Linked DNA regions of Saccharomyces cerevisiae S288C. The gene in region 1 interacts genetically with each later gene. Each region holds a gene or a part of one and is shown on either strand. Other genes may lie near its edges.

Region 1 (3,761 bases):
ATGGTACCATGAGGCCATTATCCTTAAAATCGGACGTTATCAAAAAGAGGATTTCAAAGAAGAGAGCCAAACAAACGGACCCAAACATTGCACAAAATACTCCAAGTGCACCTGCAACTGCCTCAACTTCAGTAACCACTACAAATGCTAAACCCATACGATCGAGGAAAAAATCACTACAACAAAACTCTTTATCTAGAGTGATACCTGAAGAAATCATTAGAGACAACATCGGTAATACTAATAATATCCTTAATGTAAATAGGGGAGGCTATAACTTCAACTCAGTCCCCTCCCCGGTCCTCATGAACAGCCAATCGTATAATAGTAGTAACGCAAATTTTAATGGAGCAAGCAATGCAAATTTGAATTCTAATAACTTAATGCGTCACAATTCGAACACTGTTACTCCTAATTTTAGAAGGTCTTCAAGACGAAGTAGTACTTCATCGAACACCTCAAGTTCCAGTAAATCTTCATCCAGATCTGTTGTTCCGATATTACCAAAACCTTCACCTAATAGCGCTAATTCACAGCAGTTCAACATGAACATGAACCTAATGAACACAACAAATAATGTAAGTGCAGGAAATAGTGTCGCATCCTCACCAAGAATTATATCGTCCGCAAACTTTAACTCAAATAGTCCTCTACAGCAGAATCTATTATCAAATTCTTTCCAACGTCAAGGAATGAATATACCAAGAAGAAAGATGTCGCGCAATGCATCGTACTCCTCATCGTTTATGGCTGCGTCTTTGCAACAACTGCACGAACAGCAACAAGTGGACGTGAATTCCAACACAAACACGAATTCGAATAGACAGAATTGGAATTCAAGCAATAGCGTTTCAACAAATTCAAGATCATCAAATTTTGTCTCTCAAAAGCCAAATTTTGATATTTTTAATACTCCTGTAGATTCACCGAGTGTCTCAAGACCTTCTTCAAGAAAATCACATACCTCATTGTTATCACAACAATTGCAGAACTCGGAGTCGAATTCGTTTATCTCAAATCACAAATTTAACAATAGATTATCAAGTGACTCTACTTCACCTATAAAATATGAAGCAGATGTGAGTGCAGGCGGAAAGATCAGTGAGGATAATTCCACAAAAGGATCTTCTAAAGAAAGTTCAGCAATTGCTGACGAATTGGATTGGTTAAAATTTGGTATATGACCGCGTATTATCATTATCATTATTCTTATTATGTTAATAATTACTGAACGGTTGCATTGATAGATTTTCATTACCTCTGACCACAATCCTGAGCATTGGTATTATTTGTTTTGCTATTTTCAGATCAAATTACTTGTAAAAAAAGAAATGGTAGTATATTGGCATTGAACACTGGCTGTTCTATTTGTATTACTTTTATGTGTAGACATATATTATTAGGAATTTGTAATATCACTCTAATTATTATTTGGTATTCTTTCTCTATCTCCCCTGTTTCTTTTGTCTATCTCTTTCTTTTTTTTTTTTAAACGGCCCTTTTTTAATGGCATTTTCTTTTTCTTATAATGCCCACAGTTGAATAATTTAACTAGCTTTTGACTGACACATAAACAATAATGTATATGGTCCATCCAATGAAATGACAGTTCTATTGCATTTTACCTACTTGTATATTCTGGATACTGCACAAGAAAATGGGTGTCTCACAAATATGGGAATTTTTGAAGCCATATCTGCAAGATTCCAGAATTCCGTTGAGAAAGTTTGTCATAGACTTTAATAAATCGCAAAAAAGAGCTCCAAGAATCGCGATTGACGCATATGGATGGCTATTTGAGTGTGGATTTATCCAAAATATAGATATAAGCGCCAGATCTAGATCAAGATCAAGGAGTCCTACCCGTTCTCCGCGTGATAGTGATATCGACAGTAGTCAAGAATATTATGGTAGCAGAAGTTATACAACTACAGGAAAAGCTGTGATAAACTTCATATCTCGATTAAAAGAACTACTGAGTTTAAACGTCGAATTCTTGCTTGTATTTGACGGAGTTATGAAACCCTCTTTCAAAAGGAAATTTAACCACGAACAGAACGCTACTACTTGTGATGATGAGAAAGAGTACTATTCAAGCTGGGAACAGCATGTTAAGAATCATGAAGTTTATGGCAATTGTAAAGGATTGCTAGCGCCATCTGACCCTGAGTTCATCAGTCTTGTACGGAAATTATTAGACTTGATGAACATTTCATATGTAATCGCATGTGGGGAGGGAGAAGCCCAGTGTGTTTGGCTGCAAGTTTCTGGGGCTGTAGATTTCATTTTAAGTAACGATTCAGATACTCTCGTATTTGGGGGAGAAAAAATCCTGAAAAATTACTCGAAATTCTACGATGATTTTGGCCCAAGTTCAATAACTTCCCACAGTCCCAGTAGACATCATGATAGTAAAGAATCTTTTGTTACTGTTATAGATCTACCCAAAATTAATAAAGTAGCAGGGAAGAAGTTTGATCGCCTGTCTCTCTTATTTTTCAGCGTGCTATTAGGTGCCGATTACAATCGTGGAGTCAAGGGTTTGGGTAAAAACAAATCTTTGCAGTTGGCTCAATGCGAAGATCCTAACTTTTCCATGGAATTTTATGACATTTTCAAAGATTTCAATTTAGAAGATTTGACATCAGAAAGTCTGAGGAAGTCTCGGTATAGATTGTTTCAAAAAAGATTATATTTATACTGCAAGGATCATTCTGTCGAGCTATTTGGAAGAAATTATCCTGTTTTATTGAATCAAGGTTCATTTGAAGGCTGGCCATCAACTGTCGCAATCATGCACTATTTTCACCCCATTGTCCAACCATATTTTGATGAAGAAGTTCTCAGTGATAAATACATAAATATGGCTGGAAACGGACACTACAGAAACTTAAATTTCAATGAACTGAAATATTTTTTACAAAGTTTGAATTTGCCTCAAATTTCTAGCTTCGACAAGTGGTTTCATGATTCTATGCACGAGATGTTTCTATTAAGAGAATTTTTATCAATTGATGAGTCCGATAATATAGGTAAAGGTAATATGAGGATTACCGAAGAAAAAATTATGAACATAGATGGTGGAAAGTTCCAAATACCATGTTTTAAAATACGGTATACAACATTCTTGCCTAATATACCCATTTCTTCTCAATCTCCTTTGAAGCGCAGTAATTCTCCCAGTAGAAGCAAGAGTCCCACACGACGTCAGATGGATATAATGGAACACCCAAATAGTCTTTGGTTACCCAAATACTTGATACCTCAATCGCATCCATTAGTAATTCAATATTATGAGACACAGCAACTTATACAGAAAGAAAAAGAGAAGAAAGGTAAAAAATCGAATAAGTCTCGGCTACCACAGAAGAATAACTTGGATGAGTTTTTAAGAAAGCATACTTCGCCGATTAAAAGTATCGGAAAGGTAGGCGAGTCGAGAAAGGAAATCCTGGAACCTGTGAGAAAAAGGCTTTTTGTAGATACAGACGAAGATACTAGTCTGGAAGAAATACCGGCTCCCACAAGACTGACCACCGTCGATGAACACAGCGATAATGACGATGATTCGTTGATTTTTGTAGATGAGATTACAAACAGCCAAAGCGTTTTAGATAGTTCACCCGGTAAAAGAATTCGGGATCTTACACAGGACGAACAGGTTGACGTTTGGAAGGACGTAATAGAAATATCACCAATAAAAAAGTCAAGAACTACTAATGCTGAGAAAAATCCGCCTGAGTCTGGTTTAAAATCACGCT
Region 2 (3,761 bases), on another chromosome or scaffold:
CAATGTCAATAGATAAACTTTCTGATGTTGTGATGAAAGCTACTGAACCTCAGATGGTTCTGTTTAACATTTATGATGATTGGTTAGACCGTATTTCATCGTACACTGCATTTTCTAGACTTACACTACTTTTAAGAGCTTTAAAGACGAACGAGGAAAGTGCCAAAATGATTCTACTCAGTGACCCCACGATCACTATCAAATCGTACCATTTATGGCCTTCATTCACTGATGAACAATGGATCACTATCGAATCTCAAATGAGAGATTTGATTTTGACTGAGTACGGCAGAAAATACAATGTCAATATATCTGCCTTAACTCAAACGGAAATTAAAGATATTATATTGGGTCAAAATATCAAGGCACCATCTGTGAAGAGACAAAAAATGGCTGAATTAGAAGCTGCCAGGTCAGAAAAGCAGAACGACGAAGAAGCTGCAGGTGCATCAACTGTTATGAAAACTAAAACTATCAATGCGCAAGGTGAGGAGATAGTTGTAGTAGCTTCCGCTGATTACGAAAGTCAAACGTTTAGTTCAAAGAATGAATGGAGAAAATCTGCAATTGCTAATACACTATTATATTTGAGGTTAAAAAACATTTATGTTTCGGCTGATGATTTCGTGGAGGAACAGAATGTTTACGTCCTTCCAAAAAATTTATTAAAGAAGTTTATTGAGATATCCGATGTGAAAATCCAGGTGGCGGCCTTTATTTATGGTATGTCAGCAAAAGATCATCCGAAGGTGAAAGAAATCAAGACTGTTGTGCTGGTACCTCAATTAGGCCACGTAGGATCCGTTCAGATAAGCAACATCCCTGACATCGGAGACCTTCCGGATACTGAAGGCCTTGAACTACTCGGTTGGATCCATACCCAGACAGAAGAACTTAAATTCATGGCTGCGTCTGAAGTAGCAACTCATTCTAAACTTTTTGCGGATAAGAAAAGAGACTGCATTGATATTTCAATTTTTTCCACCCCGGGATCAGTATCATTAAGCGCTTATAACCTGACCGACGAAGGTTACCAATGGGGTGAAGAAAATAAGGATATAATGAACGTGCTATCGGAAGGGTTTGAGCCTACTTTCAGCACGCATGCCCAATTACTTCTCTCTGACCGTATCACAGGTAATTTTATAATTCCATCTGGAAACGTTTGGAACTACACATTTATGGGAACAGCATTTAACCAAGAAGGTGACTACAATTTTAAATACGGCATTCCTTTGGAATTCTATAATGAGATGCATCGTCCAGTACACTTTTTACAGTTTAGCGAATTGGCGGGGGACGAAGAGTTAGAGGCCGAACAAATCGATGTATTTAGCTGAATATATTCCCCAATAAACTGGAATCTGTTATTTCATAGATATATATGTAAGTATAAGTTTGTATGTATAATATTCAACGCATTTTTTATGCCCGTCGTAGTTGCTACCTACCACACGATGATGTATTATAATTTCGGAACTACTTCAAAGCTACGCTTTCCGCACTATGAAAAGCTATAAGTATGTGAAAATTGGTCATTGACTGTGATTCTATTTCAAAAAGTAACCAAAGGAGATAGACATCGTTCGGACAGAAAATGGTCCGTTGTCACTCCCATTCCATTATGTCCTTCATATAGAAATTGGATATTCTTGTTTTCATTTCGCGCAATAAAGCAATTCCGTGCGGCAGAAAGAACTTATATATATTTAACTGATCTTACGCTATTTATGGCAAAACTTGTGTTACATTTTTGAAGATAAAGTTACAATCATTACGGCAGCCTCAAAACAAAATTGGGAGAAAACATACTCAAGTGAGTACTCATTTTGTGCAAGCAAACACTGACAATTGAAGAGATCGTCAGGATGCCCGGAACGCCACAGAAGAACAAGAGGTCTGCGAGTATATCTGTTTCACCTGCGAAGAAGACAGAGGAAAAAGAAATAATACAAAATGATTCAAAGGCGATATTATCTAAGCAAACTAAGAGGAAAAAAAAGTATGCTTTTGCTCCTATAAATAACTTAAATGGGAAGAACACCAAGGTATCCAATGCAAGTGTCCTAAAGTCAATAGCCGTTTCACAAGTACGAAATACATCAAGAACAAAAGATATAAACAAAGCAGTTAGCAAGAGCGTAAAGCAATTACCAAATTCACAAGTTAAACCGAAACGGGAAATGTCTAATTTGAGTAGGCATCACGATTTCACTCAAGACGAGGACGGCCCCATGGAAGAAGTAATATGGAAATATTCACCTTTACAACGAGATATGTCCGACAAAACAACAAGCGCTGCCGAATACTCTGATGACTACGAAGATGTCCAAAATCCCTCTTCTACACCTATAGTCCCTAATCGACTGAAAACTGTTCTTAGTTTCACAAATATCCAAGTACCCAACGCTGACGTAAATCAACTCATTCAAGAAAATGGAAATGAGCAAGTGCGTCCTAAACCAGCAGAAATATCTACCAGGGAGTCTCTCCGTAATATAGATGATATTCTCGATGATATAGAGGGCGATTTAACTATAAAACCGACGATAACGAAATTCAGCGATTTGCCATCTTCACCCATCAAGGCACCCAACGTTGAAAAAAAAGCAGAGGTGAATGCAGAAGAAGTAGATAAAATGGATTCAACAGGAGATAGCAACGATGGCGATGACTCTTTGATAGATATTTTAACTCAAAAGTATGTTGAGAAACGCAAGAGTGAGAGTCAGATAACAATTCAAGGCAACACCAATCAAAAAAGTGGAGCCCAGGAAAGTTGTGGGAAGAATGATAACACAAAATCGAGAGGAGAAATTGAAGATCATGAAAATGTAGACAATCAAGCCAAAACAGGCAATGCATTTTATGAGAATGAAGAAGACAGTAATTGCCAAAGAATTAAAAAAAATGAAAAAATAGAATACAATTCTTCAGACGAATTTTCAGACGATTCACTAATTGAACTATTGAACGAAACTCAAACACAAGTGGAACCTAACACTATTGAACAAGATTTAGACAAAGTGGAGAAAATGGTCTCTGACGATTTGAGAATTGCTACTGATTCCACTTTATCCGCATATGCTCTCAGAGCTAAGTCTGGTGCTCCAAGAGACGGCGTAGTACGATTAGTAATAGTAAGCTTACGTAGTGTTGAATTGCCAAAAATTGGAACGCAAAAAATACTAGAGTGTATAGACGGCAAAGGCGAACAAAGTTCTGTTGTCGTTCGACATCCTTGGGTATATTTGGAATTTGAGGTTGGGGATGTAATACATATTATAGAAGGGAAAAATATTGAAAACAAACGGCTTCTTTCTGACGACAAAAACCCTAAAACTCAACTGGCTAACGACAACCTGTTGGTGCTAAACCCTGATGTATTATTTTCGGCAACATCAGTCGGAAGTTCAGTAGGTTGTTTAAGACGTTCAATTCTGCAAATGCAATTTCAAGATCCCCGCGGAGAACCAAGCCTTGTCATGACTTTAGGCAATATCGTACACGAGTTATTGCAAGACTCAATCAAATACAAGCTCTCGCATAATAAAATTTCTATGGAAATCATAATACAAAAGCTGGATTCTTTGTTAGAAACTTATTCTTTTTCAATTATCATTTGTAATGAAGAAATCCAGTACGTTAAAGAATTAGTTATGAAAGAACATGCTGAAAACATTTTGTACTTCGTCAATAAATTTGTTTCGAAAAGTAACTATGGTTGCTACACATCAATTTCCGGAACAAGAAGAACACAG

What was found.
Region 2: mutations in YEN1 (region 1) and DNA2 are lethal when combined (synthetic lethality), as found in Saccharomyces cerevisiae (5 studies listed by BioGRID, with this or other methods).

Annotation. Positions count from the first base shown.
Region 1 is NC_001137.3:230,804-234,564, forward strand, and holds the start of YEN1 (crossover junction endodeoxyribonuclease), read left to right. Parts: upstream 1-1,657; coding exon 1,658-3,761. Other genes in the region: nitrogen-responsive transcriptional regulator GLN3, read left to right, coding at 1-1,184. UniProt on the Saccharomyces cerevisiae protein: Endonuclease which resolves Holliday junctions by the introduction of symmetrically related cuts across the junction point, to produce nicked duplex products in which the nicks can be readily ligated.
Region 2 is NC_001140.6:427,286-431,046, reverse strand, and holds the start of DNA2 (bifunctional ATP-dependent DNA helicase/ssDNA endodeoxyribonuclease DNA2), read left to right. Parts: upstream 1-1,868; coding exon 1,869-3,761. Other genes in the region: U4/U6-U5 snRNP complex subunit PRP8, read left to right, coding at 1-1,340. UniProt on the Saccharomyces cerevisiae protein: Key enzyme involved in DNA replication and DNA repair.